2 linked regions of the Notamacropus eugenii genome follow. The protein of the gene in region 1 interacts with the protein of each later gene in a biochemical or structural test. Links are inferred from orthologs where the notes say so. Each region holds a gene or a part of one and is shown in the gene's direction. Other genes may lie near its edges.

Region 1 (11,329 bases):
GTTCCTATACCTCTATCTCTCTAGCCCTCATCAACAAGATATGGCAACAGATTGAATATGTGGGGTGAATTAAAGATCCAGTGTGGAGAAATACAGTTGAGAACTTCTATATTAATTGCATTATAACCATTGAGTCACTTTTTCCATCTGACTTTAGAGAGAAGAGGTTTTTATTCATTTGTTTGTTTTTATAAAACATTAGCAGGCATCTAGGCTATGTAGCTGACAGATCACCATCAATAATGGTAGAATACCTCTCTAAAGGAACCTCCTTTGAACCAGGATGGACTGGAACAAGGGAGTCTAGAACTCTTCCACCTCCTGCCTTCAGAAAACAAACCTCACAATGAAGGTGTCAAAGAGGGAAGGCTTCTTCTAATCTTAAACTAAAGATTGTTGCTCTTGCAGAAAGAACACAATAGCACTGAAGTTGAAAGGAGTATTGTAACACTCTAGCTGAGCAGAGCAGTGTAACATTCCAGCTAAAGACACTCCAGCTAATGAAAGTCAATCGAGAGGGAGGGTGAAGACTACAATTGTCTATAGATGAGTAGGATCTACCTAAGAAGTATAGGTAATATACCTTGTGATGAGCCCAACAACTAAATGAAATGACTATGATAGAAAGATAAAAAGTATCTATGATTATATTTTGAAATACAGTCCAGACAAAGGGTGATTTCTATAAAGACATGGAAACCTGGGGATGTTTGTAGGCAGCATGGAAGAAGCTAGTAAATTCTTGTTATTCAGTCATTCAATCATGTCCCACTCTTCATGACCCCATAAATCATAATACAGCAAGCCCTTTTGTTTTCCACTATCTCCTGAAACCTCTCCAAGATCATGTTCATTGCTTCTATGACACTAATCTTCTTATCCTCTGCCATTCCTACTCTTTTGCCTTCAGTCTTTCCTACCATCAGGGATTTTTCCCCCAATAAGTACCATTTGAGGCCAAAGTACTTAACTTCAGTATTTATCCTTCCAATATTAAGAGTTGAAATTAATTTCTTTTAAGTGTTTACTAATTTCATCTCCTTGCTAGCCAAGGGAATATCAGAAATCTCCTGTACCACAATTCAAAAACATTGATTCTGCTTTCTTTATCATTCAACTCTCATAGCCATACGTTACTACTGGAAACAGCATAACTTTGACCATATAGACCTTCCTTGGCAAGGTGATGTCTCTACTTTTTAGTATGTTTTCCAGATTTTCCATAACATTCTTTCCAAGGAGCAAGCATTTTTTAATTTCATGGCTACAGTCCCATCAGTAGTAATCTTTCGGTTCAAGAATATGAAATCTGACACTGGTTCCATTTTTTCTCCTTTAATTTGCCAAGAAGTAATGAAATCAGTTGCTATGTTCTTAGGTTTCATTTTTGATCTTTTTTTATTCTAAGCTTGAAGCCAGCTTTAATACTCTTCTCTTTCACCCTCATCAGGAGGTTTCTAAATTCTTTTATGCTTTCTGTCATCAGAATGGTATCAATTACATATCTGAGACTGTTGGTATTTCTCCTAGCAACTTTTAATTTGTCCAGCCTAGAATTTCACATGATATACTCTGCGTATAAGTCAAATAAGGTAACAATATGCAGCCTTGTCATACTCCTTTCCCAACCTTAAATCAATCAGTTATTCCACTTTTTATTCTGTTTCTTCTTGATCTGGACATAGGTTCCTCAGGAGACAAATAAGATGAGCTGATACTACCATCCCTTTGAGGACGTAGCCATATTTTGTTGTAATTTACACAGTCAAAGGCTTCAGTGTAGTCATTAAAGCAAAAGTAGATGTTTTTCTGGAACTCCCTTACTTTCTCCATAATCCAGTGATGTTGGTAATTTGATCTCTAGTTCCTCTGCCCCTTCAAAAACCAGCCTGAAGTTCTGATAATTCTTGGTTCACACATTGCTGAAGTGTTGCTTGTAAAATCTTAAGCATAGACTTCCTGACATTTGATATGAGTGCAATTGTTCAGTAATTTGAATATTCTTTGGCAATGACCTTCTTTAGGATTGGAATGTAAATTGATCTTTTCCAGTCCAGTGACCACTATTGAGTATTCTATGCTTGCATACTGAATGCAGTACTTTAACAGCATCATCTTTTAGGATTTTAAATAGCTCAGCTGGAATCCCATCGTTTCACTAAGCTTATTGTTAGCTTTAATTTCTAAGGCCTATTTGATTTCATTCTCCAGATGTCTGATTCTAGATCAGTAACCACACCATCATAGTTATCAACGATAAGATCTTTCTTGAATAGTTCTTCTGTATGTTCTTGTCATCCCTTCTTAATCTCTTCTTCTTCTGTTAACTTCTTACCATTTTTGTCTTTTATCATGCCCATTTTTTTGCATGAAACATTCCCTTGATATCTTGAATTTTCTTTTTTTGGAGATTTATTTTTATTTTTTTCAAATTTATTAATTTATTTTTGGTTTTCAACTTTCACTTCCATAAGTTTTAAATTTTCTCTCTCTTCTTCCCTCTCCTTCCCCAAGATGTCATGCAATCATGTATGGTCTCTACACATATGTTCCTATTAAATATTTACACAGAAGTCATGTTGTATAGAAGAATGATAATGAATGGGAGAAATTATACCCCAGTACTGCTCTTCTCACCCTTTTATTAACAATGAGTTCTTGTCCACCGCTGTAAATGTAATGATCACTTGAATTAATTTCACCAATTCCCATCCATTTAGGTTCATTGGTACCCAAGATTCTCATGCTTAAACTTTCCATCTCCTGTTTGAGTACATCTGGCTTACTGTGGCTCATAGATTTAACATTCTGGGTTCTTAAGCTATATTGATCTTTGCAACATTAAACTTTCCTTAAGTCACAAGACACATCCACAGCTGAGCTTCCTTTCAGCTTTGGCCCATACACATCATTCTTTCTGGAGCTCCTTGTTGTTGTCCTCTGTTCTTTCTCAGTAGGGTGTTGGATGTCTTCAGACCCACAGGTTCATCTTCTGATGTCATATCTTTTATCATTTTAATGCCACTCATGGGATTTTCTTGGCAAAGATATTGAGGTGGTTTGTCATTTCCTTCGTAAGTGGATCACCTTTTGTCTGAACTTTCCACTATGACCAATCCATGTTGCATAACCTTGCCAGCTCATAGTTTCATTGAGTTATGCAAGCCCCTCTTCCATGACAAGGCAGTGATCCAAAAAGGGAGGCAGCAAATAAGGAGAATTTAAGATAAGATAAGGATAGCATAAATAAAGTTAAGTTTCTAGAGGAGACTGGATAGCATGAGATACAGGACACAAATAGAAGCAATCCTTAGAGCAAAAAGGGTAAACTCTGGGTCAAAGAATAAAGCAAAAGAAGAGAGGAGGGGAAGAATGAAGCTGGGTTTTGGGGTGTCAAGTAAGTAACAAGTGGAAGCTCATGGCCTCCATTTTCTCAGTAAAATGGGTATATTTTGCTTAATTATGCTTATTTACTACAAGGGAGAGGTTGAGTTTTGGAGGTAAGTGAATTAGTGTGAAGTAATAGACATGCATAAACAATAGAAAAGAGCATATTAATCAATCATTAGAAAAATACACAGAAGAAAATAAACAATGTTCAGAAAGGGACACAAAAGCAAGTTTATTATTACCTTGTTAAATTTAATATATCCCTTAAAAAACAAATTGTTTATAATGGCAGCTCAAGGTTTCATATACAATTCTCTTTTGTGTTCTTGATGATTGCTAAATTTATGAAAAAGATTAAAAGAAAAAAATAGATGAGGTCACTTAAGAGGGAGGTAAGTAGGAGTGGTGTAGAGAGCTTGAGGAGAGAAGAGAAAGTTTATAACTGCTTTTGTGGGCAATGAAATAGAGAACCAATCAAGAAAGAATGAAATGATTGTTGTATGGTGATAAGGACCCAGTAAAGATTAGAAAATCTCAGTTTGTAGTTTGATCCCAAGCAAGTATAATAGTAACTTCTGCTAGTGATAATCAGCAGCACCTGGGTGCTTAGAGAGACCATTTACCTCATGGGAGTGACTTTGGCCTGCACAGTTGAGGCAGTTTGTGGCTCCTGCAAGGTTCTGAGTCAAATCCATAGATACCAAATTCTGTCTCCTCTACCTACCCCCTAAGCCTCAGCTTCCACATCTGTTCTGACAACATGAGCAGGAATCTGAGCCAAGAAATAGCTTTGGTGGAGTGGGGAAATAGTGAGCAGTAGTTGGCAATAGGACTTTAGGCAAAATATTTATAAGGAAAGGACTCAGAGAATTTGCTGATCCTAAGGGATGGGGAAACTGTCTTCAGGAGTTTCTAGGGGAGATGGAGTGTTGCCCTTGGGAGCACTAGTGGCACATGGATAGAGAAACTCAGCAGAAGATGTAAGGATGTGTCTGAGACCTGGGGATGGGTTAGGGTGAGTTAGGAAAACCGATTACCCTCTTTCCCTCACCACCTCCTACTAACTCAAATCTGAAGCAAAGAAAACCCAGTTCCTGACTCTCAGATCAACCATTATCTTTGATTCTAAAATCCACCTCTTGGACAAAGATGTTTATCCCTCTGACAAAGGGCTTGCCCTCTCCTGGATCATATCACTGAAAGAATCCTAAATGCCCAGTTAAGGCATTAAGCACTGTCCTTTACCTCCCCTTCATATATACTTTCCACTGCCCATTCTAGCAAGGTGCTTCTTTGGGCTATTGGAGCATTGGTGGTCAATTCAACCCTTACCAGCAGTCCTGTCTCTATTGGTCTAGAAGTTCCTAGAATTACTGGCAGAACAAAAATTCATCTCAGTGTTCTGTTAGCTTCAAGGTAAGAATCTTTCTGGGCTTCAGTCTCATCTTCTGTAAAATGAGCTGTATGTACTAACTGTCTTTGAAAGGTCTTTCTTCATCTTGTGATCCTAAGTGTCTATGTCTGTGGACTTTAAGGGATAATAATCCTTCCTTCAGCAACTCTAAGGAGATATGGTGTGAGAAGGAGGGTGTCTGGCCCTTCACCCTGATTTTGTATCTACTAAGAGGTATGGCCAGATTTCCCAGATTCCAGCTCCTGGTGTCCTGGATTGTTTGGGTCTGCCTCAGCCTTGGGACCTAGACTGGGCAAGAGGGAAGTGGAACATCTGAGTGGTTAGAGAGACCATTTACCTCATGGGAGTGACTTCTTGCCTGCACAGTTGAGGCAGTTTGTGACTCTTGCAAGGTTCTGAGTCAAATCCAAAGACACCACATTTTGTCTCCTCTACCCACCAGAGCCAGAGCTTCCACATCTGTTCTGATGACAAAAAGCCCTACAGAAATGTAAGCTATTTTATTGCTTTTTGCCTGTGTTTTTTGGTCACCACTGAGTCAGAGATAATACTAGAGGAAGATTCAAACTCCGGTCCCATTCCAGCTGCCATTTACGACTTTGCCATGTCTCTTTTTTCGTTTCTCTCCACATCTTTAGCTGACATCATCTTTTTCCATTGTCATGCCTTCCCACCCATCATCATTCTTGATTGTTCTTTTCCATGTCTCTCCATTTCTCTGATTATCCATCTCCATCCCTGATCATCTGATGATTTCTCTCTCCTAGTCTCTCCACACCCAAGGCTAAGTCCTCCTCTTCTTGCCCTCTACTCTCCCCAACATCAATCACTAAATTGCCGTCAAGTGAAAAAAAAAACCCAAAACTTCTGGACCAGAGATTACAAAGGTCAACCAGTCCAGATGTTGAGGGGTGGGGGAGAGAGACATGAGACATGTGGGACCTGGACTGCAAACTAACGGGCAGGGCCCAAGGGTATGGTCACGAAGACTCTAGGGCGGCCAGCTGGAGTGGTAGGGGTGGGCAGTGACCCGGGTAGGAGAGGGACAGGGGAGGGAATTCGCTCCTCCCTCCCCCCAAGGCCACAGATTTGACTGCTGTTCTCCCAACTCCCAGCCCAGCCGGCCACATCTGGTAACTGCCCCTTTCCCATGTTTCCGCTGGATCTAGACTTCCTCTTGCGGTGGCTGGAGGCTGCGCATCTGGGGGTTTAAACATACAAAGGAATTGCTGGGACCAGCAAAAGGGCAGGCTGCGCGGAGCGGAGTGGAGTAGAAGGGAGGGAAGGAGAGGGGAGGGGAACGATCTAGCTAGTGGCTGCTCAGCGTGCGGGCTGGAAACGATGCGCGGTTGAGAAAGAAGGCGGAGACGTGGACTGGAGACTCTTAGAGCCCCCCTCTTAGATCGCGACTGCACAAACACTTTGAGGAACGACCATGATGACTCCAGCGGCCCCCGGGGTCCTAGGATTCCTCCTCCCGGCCCTCTGGTTCCACTCCAGCGTTTTCCACCAAACTTGGGCAGCCCCGTCTCCAATCATCAAGTTCCCGGGCGATGTCTCTCCCAAAACAGACAAAGAGTTGGCTGTAGTGAGTGTCTCGGTTGGGCTTCAGCAGGGTGGGGGTTGGGAGGAGGGGAGGGTGGCTGAGGGGGTCCTGCACACAGCTGGGGGGAGCTGGCTCCCTCAGCTCCCCGGGAGGTAAAGAGGGGGAGGGGGAGAGGAGACAGCTGGAGGGTGGGAGGTCTGCCTGGATTGGGGAGGGGCAGGGTGTCCCAAGAGAAAGGAATTGGCAAAGCCAGCCTTTTGGATGTAGAGCTCACTGCCAAAGAAAGTTTCCTTGGACTTTAGAGAAGTGAGGCTGGCGAGGGGCAGGAGGAGGATAGGGGGAAGGAGAGAGGAAGGGAGGAGGGATGGAGGCGCGCGGCGCTCTGGGGTTTCCTGCAACTCCTAATGATCGCCGGCACACAGCTAGGGGAGCAAAAGGGTGGGGGAAGCAGGGAGCCCCCGGACGATTTCAGGGAAACTGAACTGGCCAGAAAACCCCTCCCCCAGGGCCTGGACCGCTCCTTGAAGCGGCTCAGATGTTGTTTTCCGTGCATTCACCACATCGTTGCATAAGCAGAACTGGAGGGACAATTACTGTGCGGCTCAGGGACTGCTGAGCCTCTTGGCTTTAATGAGCACTTTGGTCTTGGAGCGCTAGTCCCGCGGTTGGAATCGGCTCTTCTGAAAGCTGCTGGGGAGGGGGGGGGCATATTAGGGGAGCGGGGAGGGAATGTTGGAATGTTTAAATCTAAATCTTCTACCTGACCCCCGGGGCCTATTTTCCTTGGAATTTGTTTAAAAGAATTAATAAAACCCATCCCCAGAGTTGAAGGGACTTTCAGAGGCCACCTATTCCAACCTGTACGGAACAAGGATCTCTACTGTAGCATCTCAGAAAAGTGGTCTTCTAGTCTCTGTTGGAAGCCATCCAGGGGTCGGAAATCCATTCATTACCCACCAAAGCCACCCATTCCAGTTTGGCTTTGCTCTAATTGATTTTCCTTTCATCAAGCCCCAAACTGCCTTTCTGCAACAGTATGCCCATTTGTTCCTAGTTCCACATCTGGGACCAGCAAGCAGAACAAATCCAACTGCTCCAACCCAAGTATTCTTGACTTCATGCTAAAATATCATTACATCTTTCAACTGACCCTCTCTAGCACCATCCTAGATGTGTCCTCTGGACTTTCTTCAATTTGTCAGTATCCTTTAAATGTGATACCCAAGATAAAACAGTGCTCCAGATGTCATCTGAGAAGAGTAGAGGCTTTAGGTTTAGTTTTCTTATCTGTAAAATTAGGGTTGTGGCCTAGATGGCCTCTGAATTCCTTTTAGTTCTAACTATATGATCCTGCAATCCCATGACTAATCCACCTCTTATCCTAAGCACTTTCTTTTATCTGTTGATGGAGCCATCATTTCAAAAGGACAAAAAAGTTAGGGGAACACTGAACCATATCAGAGGAAGGACAAATTTGGTATCCTGGATTATTTAGAATAGCCCCCAGTTTGAGAGAGCTTGGCAAGAACAGAACCAGATGCAGAGTTCTCCCAAGCAGAAACAGCTGAGGCAACATTTTTTCTGGGTCACCTTGCTGGGTTTGGATCATCAAGAGAGATAGCTCAAAACTCTAACCATAATAGGTAACAAGAAAAGAGTATCAAGGGTAGGGTGAGATAGGAAAGTGAGGAAAGTTGATCTAGGTAGTTTTTAAGGTTTTTTTCAGCTCTGATATTTTATGGTGTCATCTTTACTAATTAGTAATTAGTAAATTAGTTTTTAGTTTGATTAGATTTAATTAGATTAATTAAGGTCATAGATTTAGAGCTAGAAGGGACATCCATCACAAATAATCTAGTCCAACCTCTCTGTTTACAGATGAGGAAACTGAGGCTTGCCCAAGGAGGTTAAATGACTTTCCAAGGTCACAAAGTGATCAGCAGAGGTAGGATTTTGAATCTAGAGCCAATATCCTTTCCACTATAACCTTGCAACTCAGCAAGTACTTATTAAATGTCTAATGTGTATCCAATAATGGAAAAAGAAAAAAAAAAGACAAAGCAAGAAAGATCTAATCCTTGCTTTTGAAGAGTCTCTAGCCTAGTTGAATAGATGTCCTAGCTAACATTTGTAGAGTGCTTTTAAGATTTGCAAAGCATTTTACATGTTATGTCATTCGATGTGAAATAACCCACGGAGAACAATGAGCGTAGTAGGAATGTTATTTACTTAATAGTGTATAACATTGTGCTAAGTACTATATGAAAAAGTCTAAAGACAGGAAATGCTCTCTGGAACTTTATGAGCTAAGACACACAGATATATATTCAGCCGCTAAGTGAACAAACATTTATTGAATGCTCGCTATGGGCCAAACTAGATGCAATGGATAGAGCAAGGGGCTTGAAATCAGAAAGACTCATCTTCATGAATTCAACTGTTTGCCTCAGTTCCTTATCTGTCAAATAAGATGGAGAAAGAAATGGCAAACTATTCAAGTGTCTTTGCCAAGAAAACCCCAAATGGTGTCACAAAGAATTGAACATATACGGTGCTAAGGGCTGGGAATACAGAAAGAAACAAAGAACAGTTCCTTCCCTTAAGCTCACAATCTAAGGGAGGACCCAAGGAGCAAACAAATATATGCAAACAATCAGTAGGATTAGTAGGAGATAATTAAAAGAGAGGAACACTAGAATTAAGGTACTTAAAGGAAGTCAGTGACACCAGTAGGCAGAGATGAGGAGGGAGCATTTCAGGCACATGAAGGTATGTGGTTGTTATACAGGCAACTGGAGAAAAAAGTATCATATCAATAACTGATCAGAGAAAAGTGTGCTCTGTTGATCAGTCAGTGTCAGGAAAAATGGACATATGGGAATCCCATTTAGGATCAATTCTTATGTGTAATTTGCCTACCAAAAGATTAACAAGCACCAACAGCAGGACAGTAACTTCCTCACCTCTTCTTACCCCCGTGGGTTTTGTACCCAGTTTCGACTGGGGGCTAAATGGAGGATCTCACACTGCTTCCCTGATCAGTCCAGGAAGGCTTCATTGAGGAAGTGAGAATTCAAGAGCTTGTTGAATTGAAATCAAATACTGGGATATAGAATCAAACTTAGCAAGATAGGAATACAGGACAACTTGGTGAGGGGCTATGAAAAGTAGGGTGTAGACCTGTATGCTATAGTGGAAAGAGCAGAGCACAGGTCTAGGTGTTAGAAGTCCTCTTTTAGAATCTATTCTCTGTAGCTTTCTAGTTGGGTGACCTTGGGCCAGCTAGCAAACTCTTGGAGCCTCAGTTTCATCTGTAAAATGAATGAGATTCTAATGATATTCCCAATGAGGTCTAATCCTCTCATTTTTTCCCCAATATGAAGGCTCATTGTCCTATTATTTAATTCAATTCAAATCAATAAGTATTTACTAAATGCCTTCTACCTCCAAAGCATTATGCTTTGGTCTTAGGTCTTAGAGATACAAACATAAAAATCAGTCTTCATTCTCAAAGAGCTTATATTCTGCTGGTAGTGATATAGCATGCATAGGAATAATTATGAAGTATGCAAAAAGCAATTTCAGGAAGGAAAGAGTACCAGCAATTGGGAGGATTAGGAGCCTTCTATGGGAAGTAACAACTGAGTTGTGTTTTGAAGAAAACTTGGGATTCTAAGAGGCAAAGATGAAGTAGAAGATAATGTGAAATAAAACTGGAAAAATATAGATAGGAGCTAGACTGTTGGACAGCTTTAAATTCTAGCCTACAGAGTTCATCTTGTATGTTAGAGGCAATAGGGAATCATTAGAGATTTTTACATGAAAGAATGCTGACAAAGTCACAATTGTGTGGTAGGAATAGCAATTTGTGAAAGAAGAGCCAGAGTCGGGAAATACCAGAGGTAGGGCCATCAATGAAGGCTAATACAAATACCAGACAAGAGTTGATGAGGTCAATGAGAAAACACTGCAGGACCTAAGATGGGGGAAGCATAGTTAAAATAACAGCTGGAGAAGACTTTGGAAGGAATAGTAAGGCTAAACTGAAGGGAATAGACAGGATGGGGTAAAGGCAGGGAGAAAGTAGGTAGAATTGTTGAGAAAGGGGGAGTAATTTTATCCAAGTCATGTGGGTTGAATTTGTGGGGGAATTTTTCTCCCAAATGGAAGAGGAGTTGAGTGCAATAAGCTTGAGTTTATGAGATGGTTTGGGGTTGCTTAACTTTGTGGTTGTAGCCAACTTTATAATGAGACCATAGTCACGAGTTCAGTTCTCAGGTGGGTCAGTTAGCATCACTGTGCTCTGTGGCTGCTGGCAGTATCCTTTACACCAAACAGCTGTTTTGAAAAATTTGTAACTTGTGACCAAGCTAAGAAGAATGAATTGCTCAATGCAAAGCTCTTCTCACTATTAAAAACAAAACTCAGAGCCTCTGCCCTATGGATGAGAGGATCAGGAGCAGCATCTTTGCATTTGAAAGGAAAACATTTATTTATTTTCTAGACTGCATGTCTATGTAGGAGGTCATGAAAGCAGCTTGACAGGGAATTGAGCTCTGGGAATAAGAGAGGAAGTGACATCATTCTTTATTGGCCCTTCTTTCTTCTCTAGCCTTCCAGCCAGGGGCATTCCCTAAGGCTATGTCCTTAGTTCTCTTTTCTAATGGATTTCAGAGAATTCATCTATTGCTGTGGCTTTATCTTGTGGCTCTGTTTTATATAGATTACACCTTCATATACATTTCCAGTCTTGACCCTCCTTCAGAACTTCTGTCCTGAATATGCAACTGAGTACTAGACATTTACTCTTACATGACCTGCCTATACACTTGCCAAAAAGATTATTTAATGGAGAACTCACACAGGGCAGGCGAACTCTTGGTGGCCAGAAGATGTGATACAAGGACACTCTCAAGGTCTTTCTCAAGAACTTTGGAATTGATTATGTGACATGGGAGACACTGGCACAGGAACACTCA
Region 2 (11,329 bases), on another chromosome or scaffold:
TCTCAACAAATTCTAGAGTAGAAGAAGCCACAGAACAACAGAGAGAAAGGTAACCTGGAAGGCTGACAGAAAAGGTCTATCTCATGGGACAATGAATGGAGTGGAGCCCATCCCTGGCCACAAGGCATTGCGAGGAACAGGATCTGAACAGACCTCCGAATTTCCATCAGGGAGGGTTCCAGATCTCTCAACCCACTAGCGACAAAGAAAGCTCCAAAGGTCAGTGTAGGAGGGCTTTCCCAGCTGAGTGAGAGGGAAATGGGTTCCTCCAGCTATAGCCCCAGGAAATGGTAGAGACCACGGCAGCAGACTGCAGGCAGCTACAGTGGCCAGCCAGGAAGCAACCTGGGTCCATTGTCCAAGCAGTTCAGTTTAAAGCCTCTGTCCATAGGGAGCAGCTGATCTAATCCTCAACCCTGAGTGATGGTCCTGTCTCCACCCCAAGCCCCCAGAAATCAAGCAGCTGAGTTGAATCTCAGCCTTGAACACGGCACTGGGGAGAGGAGAGACGATAGGACCATCCTCTTGACAAAGGATTCAGAAGTCAAGTAACTGGCTGGAAAAATGTCCAAAAAATGGAAAAAAAATAAGATCATAGAAGGTCACTTTCTTGGTGAACAGGTGTCTTCTCCCATCCTTTCAGATGAGGAAGAACAAGGCATACTGTCACAGGAAGTCAAGGCCTCTGCCTCCAGGGCCTCCAAAGGGAACTTAAACTAGGCTCAGGCAATGGAAGAGCTTGAAAAGTGAGTTAGCAGCTTGCTAAAGGAGAACCAAAGAAATGCTGAGGAAAATAACACCTTTAAAAAGAGGCTAACTCAATTGGAAAAAGAGGTCCAAAAAGCCAATGAGGAGAAGGAGGCTTTAAAAAGTAGAATTAGCCAAATGGAGGAGAAGATTCAAAAGCTCACTGAACAAAATAGCTTGTTGAAGAGAGAATTGAGTTTGGGGAAATGAATGACTATGAGATAAACCAAGAATTTAAAAAACAAAACCAAAAATTTGAAAAAATAGAAGATAATGTAAAACATCTCATTGAAAAACAACTGACCTGGAAAATAGATCCAGGAGAGACAATTTAAAAATTATGGGACTATCTGAAAGCCATGATCAAAAAAAGAGCCTAGACATTATCTTCCATGAAATTATCAAGAAAAACTGTCCTGATATTCTAGAACCAGAGGGCAAAATAAATATTGAAAGAATTCACTGATCACCTCCTGAAAGAGACCCAAAAAGAGAAACTCCTAGGAATATTGTGGCCAAATTTCAGAGTTCCCAGGTCAAGGAGAGAATACTGCAAGCAAGGATCTAGAAAAAAAAAACAATTTGAGTATTGTGGAAATACAATCGGGATAGCACAGGATCTGGCAGCTTCAACATTAAGGGATTGAAGGACTTGGAATGGACATTCCAGAAGTCAAAGGAACTGGGATTAAAACCAAGAATCACCTACCCAGCAAAACTGAGTATAATACTTCAAGGGAATAAATGGTCATTCTATGATATAGAGGACTTTCAAGCATTCACAATGAAAAGACTAGAACTGAAGAGAAAATTTGACTTTCAAACACAAGAATCAAGAGAAGCATGAAAAGGTAAACAGGAAAGAGAAATCATAAAAGACATTCTAAAGCTGAACTGTTTACATTCCTACATGGAAAGAAAATATTTATAATTCTTGAGACTTTTCTCAGTATTTGGGTAGGTGGAGGGATTGTACATACATGCGCACACACATACACGCACAGAGTACAGACTGTGTTGAATAAGAAGAGATATCCACAAAAAAAAAGATATAAAATAAAAATTAGGGGGAGAGGGAGGAAAATACTGGGAAGAGAAAGGGAGAAATGAAATGGGGTAGGCTATAACTCATAAAAGAGATAAGAAAAATCTTTTTCAATGGAGGAGAAAAGGGAGAAGGGGAGAGGGGAAAAGTGAAACTACTCTCTCCACATATGGCTTAAGGAGGAAATAACATGCTCACTATATTTGGTATGATAATCTATCTTACACTACAGGAAAGTAGGGGAGTAGGTGACAAGTGGGATGAGGGGAATGATAGAAGGGAGAGCAAATGGGAGAAGGGAGTAATTAGAAATAAACACCTTTGGGAAGGGACAAAGTCAAACGAAGGAATAAAAAAATAAGGGGGAATAGAATAGGATAGAGGGCAATTTAGTTAGTATTACACAACATGATTATTATGGAAGTCTTTTGCAAAACAACACATATTTAGTCTGTATTGAATTGCCTGCCTTCTCAGTGGAGATGGACAGGGAGGGAGAAAGGGAGAGAAGTTGGAATTCAAAGTATTAGAAATGAATGTTGAGCATTATTATTGCACATAACCGGGAAATAAGAAACACAGGTAATGGGGTATAGAAATGTCTCTTGCCCTACAAGAAAAGAGAGAAGATGGGGATAAGGGAAGGGAGGGGTGTGATACAAGGGAGGGCACACTGAGGGAAGGGATACTCAGAATGCAAGGTATTAGGGGGTAGGGGAAGGAAGAGACGGGGAGAAAAACTGGACATATTACAAAGTGATGTAAAAGCAATTAGTATTAAAACAATTGACTGAATTAATTACTGAGATTAAATCAGAGACATCTTTACTTGGGGGAAAAGAATTTTAGTCTAAATTTCCTAGAGGCAAGTAACCTCGGGTAAAATTTGGCATTGATGGAAAAGTTAAGGTTTTAATGGTAAATTTTATTTTATGATTGTTTTTTAATCAAGAACTAGAACATGTACAGAAAGGCATGTAAGCCACTTAAAACTTGCCTCAAAAGATGTTCCTTAGCCAATATGAAATTATAGTCATATCTGAAACCTGCTTATTGGAACTTGCTATTTTAAGATGCTATGGGACTATTAACTGACTGTTCTTCTGAGTCTAATTCCAGATATGGATAGCAAGAAAGGCAGTCTGGGCCTCCAGTCCATGATGCCAATAAAACTGTGAGATGCTGGTATGAACTGAAAAAGGTGATCTCATAGGAAGGGTGGGAGAGAGGCTGTTCAACCTGGGCTGAGGTAGGATTCTCCTGACCCAATTTCCTCACTGACACCTGGCAGACTTTAAGCCTGACTGAATGCAAGTTGACAATCTACTCCCGCCTGTAACTGACATGAAGTTGGGGAGATATTGTTTCCCTGCAGCGTCCCTACTCTTAGTGGCAATTTCCTATAGTCAGAAGGTTTGTAAGCTTAATACCAGATCTATTAAATTATAAATTCTTGGTAGGGGAATGTCCGAGGTTAAGTCTAAAACTAAGCTATTAGGCTTAGGACTTTAGACCAACAACAATAAGTTAGGGTCCTTTAATTCTTAGTAATACTGTGGAGACAATTAGGTCAAGGGCTTGTGAAGTTAGCATACATAGCTATTATTTGTGTCTCAGTTGGTTAATGTTAAAAAAAAAATTCGTTTGTGGTCTATGTTGTAAATGCTTTACAAGAAGTATCACCTGACCAAAAGATGGAATTGTTTTATGTGATATGAACTGTGTTAAAAATGAAAAATAAAAAAAAATAAAGTTAATAAAACAGTTCTTAAAATGCCAACCTCAGTTTTAGGTCAATTCCTAGTCATTTTAAAGGTGCCTTTTAAGGAATAACTGATCTGTGAATTTTGTTTGTTTGTGGTTGTTGTTTTCATTAAACTCTAGAGAATTTGGTAGTACTTTATAAACTCATCAAAATACTTTATAAAAATATCCAAATTATACTTTAGAAATGAAATAAATTCAATTATTCTTTTTTTCACAAATTTGGTTTCCAATAATTTTTTTTGTATCTTTGTTTTCAATTAATACCTGTACCTGTTTTTCATTTCATCGATCTCCAACATAGTCATGTTGGAAACAAATAGAGAGAGAGAGAGAAAAAAGAAAAAGAAAACAAGGTATGGTATTGACAATTCTAGGCCCCAAGGTCTGTGGCATCTTGCCCAAAAGAGGGTTCAACTTGTCCAATGTTAAATGTGTGGTTGGGAACTTGATTCTCCGCCCACCCCTCATCCTCTGTCCACTTTGCCTTAATCCAACACTTTTTACATTAGACTAGTTTAGGAGTCAGCAATCTTTTTGAATCAGTGTGCCAAGTGTTCATTCATTCACTTCTTTGGTGGTGGTGATGTGGGATAAGGGGGCTACAGAGGCTGAAGGAGCCTGCCTGATTCCTCCAAATTTGAGGAAGAGATGAATCCAGGGATATCCTAGAAGAATTCTCTGAAGCCTTAGTTCCCAGGAATCTTGATGATCTAGGGTGGTCAGGAGTCATAAGAGGAGGGCTCAAAACAAGTCTCTCCTCATATCTCTCCCACACCACCAGCCCCTATGGCCTTATAACCCATCTTTTGTGCCACCTTGGGCATGCAAACCACAGGTTGCCAAGCCCTAGACCAGCCCTGCCAACCACAAGCATCCTCTTCTCTTCCGGTCTGGCTAATCCTGTAGCAATCTGGTTATGGCCGCAGTGTGGGGTACAGATCCTCACTTCCTCTTCCTTTGCCTCGACTCCCCAGGACATGCGGCAGCTGGAGGAAGGTCAACAGAGCAGGGTTGAGGGGTCAAAGTTAGAGAGCCAGAGGGAAAGGGAGAGACTCTGGGTTCCAGGGTGTCTGAAGCCCAGCGTTCCACCCTCCCCCACTCCAGGGAAAATCACAGGAAGGGAGCTAGTTCAGATGCCAACTGTCCGCGGAGCCTGGGACCCTGGGCATGGGAAAGGGATTCAAACGCCGCTGTTGCTGGCGCCTTTCCCTCAGAGAGAGGCAGCCCTCTCTGCCTCTCTGTTTGCTGTTTGTTTGGGGCCTCACAAATAGGGCATTGAAAACACTTCCTGCAGCTGAATGACGCCCTGTGTCGCCTACCGCAGGCGGGCACTGTGGCCCAGCTCGCAGGCTGGCTGCCTTTGGGGGAAGCCTGCAGGGCGGGGTGGGGAAGAGGGGTTCCCGCAATGTCCTCTCCTCTCCCCAGGGAAGGAAGGAATCCTCTCTTCCCTTCAAGTAGTCTTTCTTCACTCTGGCCTGGGCAGCTTTGCTCAGACCGCTCCTGGGACACCAGGTCCCCTTCCTGCCTTGGAATCCAAAAACATCTCCCCCAGTTCGGAGGGTGGCTGGGGCATAGCAGGGGGTGGGGAGTGGGGAGGGAGGGAGGGCAGAGGCTTGGGTTATTAATAGTTTTCCTGACTCAGAGCCACCCCGTTATGCGAAACCAAGTAAGGTAACCCCCTCTTTGGAGACAAGATGCCTCTGGCTGTCAGCGATGGGCTGGGAGTGAGGCCCAGAAGGCGGGGTTAGCCCCGAGGGGTCGGGGCCATAAATAAGAGGGTCGCGTGTCAGGGAGATAAACATCAGGGGGTGCTGGGACTGAACAGAGTCGCCAGGGGCTGTCCGGAGCCGAGGGAGGCGGAGCGCCAGTGCCCAGGCCAGCGCCAGCGTCGGAGAAGCATCGGCATCGGCAGCGCCAGCGCCAGCGCCAGCAGGGGCATAGGCAGTGCCAGCGCTACAGCCAGCGCCCTCAGCAGCCGAGCCCCAGTCCAGCCTCAGCCCGAGAGCCCCGGGTGGGCAGCGGGACCAGGAGGGGCGCTCGCCTCTGCCTGGCGCGGCGCGGCCCGGGGTGCGCTCCGGGGCAGGGGGGCGCTGACAGCATGCTTGCCGCCCTCCGTGCCTGGTGGCTGTCCGGGTTGCTGCTGGGGCTCAGCCTACAGCTCCGGGCCCGGGTGGAGGCATGCAGCTGCGCCCCCGCGCACCCCCAGCAGCTGCTCTGTTCCTCGGCGATAGGTGAGTGCGCCCCGGGGCAGGCGGCCGGGATGGGGGGCGGCTCGCGGGACTGGTTGGCACCACTGCAAACTATCTCTGTATGTAGGACTGGAGCGGGTACGGGCCGTTCTTTTTGGTAATAAGCTTGTATGATCACAGATTGCCAGAGCTGGGAAGATCATTCCAGGCTAACCCCTCGCCCCCATTTTACAGTTGGGGGAACGGAGGTCCCAAAGAGAAGTAGGGATTTGTCCGAGGTCACATAGAGAGTTAATGGCAGAGGCGGGATTAGAAAGGAGGTCTCCTGACTTCCAGACTGGTGCTGTTGGCACTATCCCAGCTACACTGGGGAGGTGGGGGCGGGGGGACTCCAGAGCTTGCATATGGGTTATTAATAAGAGTTTACCCAATGGCTTTTATCTGGAGAAAACACTGCGGTCTCCTCCCACCCCCTCTCCCTCCTCCAAAACCAAACTCAACTCCCCTTCATACTCTTACACTGCTTCCTTCTTAACTCTTAAACGAAGGCATTGGGAGAGGACTCATTGCTATAGCAACATGTGACAAGTGGAAAGTCACTGGTTTTTATGGACAAAGAGAACGTACAAAGAGTCTTCCACAGCACCCAATGACCCATGGCATGGAATCACAGTTTGTTAGAGCTGGAAGGGAATCTAGAGATCTAGTACAAATTCTTTTTTTTTACAAATGGGGAAACTGAGGGCCAGGGACAGGAAAGGGTCCCAACACTTGTCTAGGAGGAGGGACTAGAACCGAGGTCTTTTTTTTTTTGTCTTGGGGGTAGGGGGCTCTTTCCACTACACCCCCACACTGCCTTCTCTGTCCATGCCTTTGTTCACCTAAGAAAGTTCAGTAAAGTGCAGAGAATATTGGAAGATCAAGCAGAGCCACTATTTTAAACATGGGTTCTTCCAGCCCAGGACCCATAGCTGCTGATGCAGAAAGTCGGGAGTTGGTGGTGGGTAAGGGAATGAGAATTAGAATTCGAGTAAGAGGTCCTAGGGTCCAATTCCTGCTGTAGACAAATCACAGCCTCTCTGGGCCTCAGTTTACTCATTTGTAAGATGAAAGAGTTGGACTAGGTGACCTCTGGGACCTCCTTTCAGCTCATCTCCTATGTGTACTGACTCCAGAACCTTCCCCATTCCATCCATTGCAAGACTGTTATTTTTTTTAATTAAATCATTGAATCCAGATTGATTTCTTGGGGTTGGCCTCTTTCTCTCTGAAGTGGAGTGCCAAGGTAGAGGAAAAACCCAAACAAAGTTAGAATCTGAAGAGTTCTCCTAAACAAGAACCCATTCTTTTCCCTCCCTCATGAGTAGTCATTGAGTCAGTGATGGAGAACTCTCTACTCCTTTCTACTTCTGGACTGTTTTGCTTTAGAATGGCGATCCTTGACGGGAAGGTTGCCTGTGAGACTTTCATTGTAGTTCTGTCTCTTCTACATGTCACAACCAACAGAGCTCCCTTACTATGTTTTACCTTCTTTCAGCTAGATCGTTCCTTTATTCTGTCTCATGGTAGCCTGGGTTTTAGTTTCCTTATCTGATGCCCTCAGACTTGTCGATGTTCTTTCTAAAATGTGGCACCCAGAACAGATCAAATTTCCAGGTAATAGTCTGAGCAGGAAGGGTTAGGAGCCCCTGTTCGGGACATTATGATTCCATCAGAGCAGCCTAAGAGCACAATGATGGTACATGTGACTCAGCTTGAATTTTAGCTGAAAACATGTCTTTTTCACATAAATTGTTGTCTAGGTGTGGTTTCCTCATCCTGCCCTTAGCATTTAGAACCAGAAGGCACCTCAGAGGTTTGTCCCAATTCCCTCATTTTACAGATGAGAAAACTGATGCCCAGAGAGGTGATTTAGCCAATATCACATACATATTAAGTATAAGAAACTTGGGACGCTTGACTTTTTAAACCTGAGTGTAGCACTTTACATTTATTACTATTAGATATAGACAATTATTTGTCCGTGTAGATTTTTTTTTGTCAGTCAACAAGCAGTTTACAACCATTTAAAAAAAACATATATGTGGAGTGTTGGAGACACAAAGAAAAAAAGAGACTAGTCCTTACTCTGAAGGAGCCCACAGTCTAATGGGGGAGAGAACATGCAAAAACAAGATGTATACAGGTTAAATTAGAGAGAATCAACAGAGGGAAGGCACTAGTATTAAGGGAGATCAGGAAAGGCTTCCTAAGAAGGTGGGATTTTAGATGAGAATTGACAGAATCTAGGAAGCAGAGATGAGGAGGAAAAAAGTTCCAGCCATGGGACAGCAAATGAAAATACATACATGAAAATATGCAAGAGTTGTGAGATGGTTTGTGTAATTCAAGGAACAGCAGAAAGGGCAGTACTTGGGGTGGGGGAGGGAGTATATGTAAGGAGCACAAAGACTGGAACAGTGGGAAGGGGATTTAAACAAAGGGTTTTATATTTGGTACTGGAGGTAATAGGGAGCCAGTAAAGGTGATTGACCAGGAGGGATGAGATGATCAGAATTTCACTTTTGGAACATCTGTTTGACAGCTAAGTGGAAGATGGACTGGGGTAAGAGATACTTGAGATAGGTAAACCAACCAGTAGGCTATTACATTATTCTAGGTGGAAGGTGATGAGGTCCTGAACCAGAGCAGGGGCAGTGTCAGAAGGGAGAAGGAGGCATATAATGATCAATGTTGCCAAGGTAGAAATGACAGGGCTAGCAATTGATTGGGGGAGAGAGGGGAATGGTGAGAGAGCAAGAGGGATTGAGAATAACACCTAAATTTTGAGCCCAGGTGACTGGGATGATGGTGATAACCTTGATAGAAATAGGAGAATTAGAAAAAGTGAAGGATTTGGGGATGGGGAAGATAATTTCAGTTCTAAACATGTTGAGGTTCTATGGGAAATCCATTTCAATCTTAAACATGTATGAAGTCTATGGGATAGCCAATTCAAAATGTCCAAAAGGCAGTGGGAGACATGAGACCAGAGGTCAGGAAAGAGGTTGATGTTGGACAAATAAATATGAGAATTACCTGCAGAGTTGATAGTTGAAATGATGGGAGCAGATGAGATCACCAAATAAAACTCTATAGATGTAGAAGAGAAGAGAACTCAGGACAGAGCCTTGGGGGCCACTCCATCCACTGTTCACCGGTGCGATCAAATGAAAGTCTAGCAAAGGAGACTGAGAAGAAATGGTCAGGTAGATAGGAGAACCAGCAGAGAAGAGTGCCTTGAAAATGTAGACAGAAGAGAGTATCAAGGTGAAGGAGGGTGATCTACGATGTCAAAGTCTGCAGAGATTTGAGGAAGGATGAATGAAGACTGAGAAAAAGTCATTGGATATGGCGATTGAGGATTCTTGGTAATTCTAGAGAGAGCAGTTTCAGTTGAGTGATGAAGTAGAAAGCCAGACTGTAGAGAGTTAAGAAGGGAGGATGAGAAAAGGGAAGAGGAGACATTAATTATGGATATCCTTCTCTAGGAGTCTGGCCAGAAAAGGGAGAAGAGTGATAGGACAATAGCTAGCAGGGATGCCATCCAGCATGGTACAGACCCCTCCCAATTAGCAACACTTAGTTAATTTTGAGCCGTTCACATAGTTTGGTTCCAAGAAATCAAAGTTTTACTGCAGTTCCCACTCTGTCACTGCCTGGACTATTTAGAGCCTCCTGACCTTCAGAACTCATGGATGAGAAGGCTTTTTAATGGGATGCCTTCCTTTCTTTCTTCAATGTCCTCCACACAACTGAGACCTGATCACTCCAAAATCTTCAGGCAAAGAGATATGGGAAAAAAAAAAGTGGGCATGCTGTGGTCCCTTCCATTCCCTGGCTCCGCATTCTAGCCAGAGTGTCTATAAACTGCTCATTACCATAGCCAATGTAGAACGTGAATTTCCAACCCTACCGCCAATTAGCATTTCTATGGCCTGAGGAATCCTTTCTGCATACTGAGTAATGGCTTTCTGGACCTGACAGGACATTTTTGTGGCCTCAGCTCTGTTTGTGACTAGCAGTTAGTCCTGTTCAGAAGGGCTGTGTTTGGAGCATTTTTTGGGGGGTTATCTACTCAAAACACCAGGGATCTAGTGAAGTGGAGGAGGGAGATCATTAAGGATAATAAATATGGCATTAGTGGAAAACGATTTCAAATCTGCCTTTTAACACTTCATAGTTGTGTGATCCAGAGCAAGCCACTTAACTTTTCTGAGCCTCAGTTTCCTCATCTGTAAAAGGAGTATAATAATAGCACCTACCTCTTATTGTTGTTCAGTCATGTCTGACTGACCCATTTGGGGGTCTTCTTAGCAAAGATGCTGGAGTGGTTTGTCATTTTCTTCTCCAGTTCATTTTATAGATGAGGAAACTAAGGCAACCAGGGTGAAGTGACTTGCCCAGGGTCACACAGCTGGAAAGTGTCTGAGGCCAGATTAGAACTGAGGAAGATGAGCTTTCCTGATTCCGGGCCCAGTGCTCTACTCACCGCACTATCTAGCTGCCACCACCTCCCTAGGGTCATATTTTTAGAACTGGAAGGGACTGTAGAATTCACGTGGTCATTTTAGAGATGAGGAAACAGATTAAGTGACTTGCTCAGGGTCACATAGGTAGAATCTGAACCCATGTTTTTGCCTTCAATTCCATCATTTTTTCTATTATTTTGTGTTGACTCTTAGGTCAACTCAAGTCAAGTTGGAATTATCAATGCAATAATCATTGATCAAGCTCCTACTATATACTCCCCCCAAAAGCCCCCAAAACTGACAGTCCCTACCCTCAAGGAACCTACATGAGGATGGCCTGAGATGAAATATATGAAGCTAAGACATTGTATAAATATTAGCTATCATTACTCTGAGTCGTTTTCCTGATGAAACTGTTGATGGGTAAGCAGGAGACTAGGTGGGGATTGCATTGGATAACACTCAGTGCCGGAGACAGGGAGGACCCTGAGATGGGCAACGTGCTCTGGTCAATGCCTTTGTGGGATACTCCCCAAACTCAAGCTTGAAGGGACCGTGTACTCCAACACCTTCATTTTACAAATGAGAAAACTGAGGGTTCCCGGGGTATAATGATTTTCCAGGAGATGAATTGTACCCAGATGCTCTATTAGCACATCAAATTCAGTGTGGCCAAATCTGAACTCATCATTTTAGCTAATAAACCTACTCTTCCTGCAAACCTTGTTATCTGGGTTGGTGACACCATCATCCTCTCAGGAAGCCAAGTTCATAACTTCAGAGACATCTAGTCTACCTACTACCTTTCTGTACCACTGTCTCCCCATTCCATCAATTACCCAGTCCAGCTAATTCTCCTTCTACTTCACATCTCCAACATCAGCTCCCTGATTGCCATTTACATTAATGGCATCAAACTCAAGTAGAAATGGGGCCACTAAATCATACAAAAGGATCCCTGACGGCTGCATGTTGACATATTAGCATTATCTAAACTCTGTTGTGGGGGCAGCTAGGTAATGCAGTGGATAGAGCACAGAGCATGGAGTCAGGAAGACCTGAATTCAAAT

Evidence for each region.
Region 2: the proteins of MMP2 (region 1) and TIMP4 form a complex in vitro, tested with the Homo sapiens proteins (2 studies listed by BioGRID). The link is inferred for Notamacropus eugenii from reciprocal best matches to the Homo sapiens genes MMP2 and TIMP4.

The regions. Positions count from the first base shown.
Region 1 is NC_092872.1:471,439,587-471,450,915, forward strand, and holds the start of MMP2 (72 kDa type IV collagenase), read left to right. Parts: upstream 1-5,957; 5' UTR 5,958-6,239; coding exon 6,240-6,392; intron 6,393-11,329.
Region 2 is NC_092874.1:432,873,123-432,884,451, forward strand, and holds the start of TIMP4 (metalloproteinase inhibitor 4), read left to right. Parts: upstream 1-5,130; 5' UTR 5,131-5,657; coding exon 5,658-5,790; intron 5,791-11,329. UniProt on the Homo sapiens protein: Complexes with metalloproteinases (such as collagenases) and irreversibly inactivates them by binding to their catalytic zinc cofactor. Known to act on MMP-1, MMP-2, MMP-3, MMP-7 and MMP-9.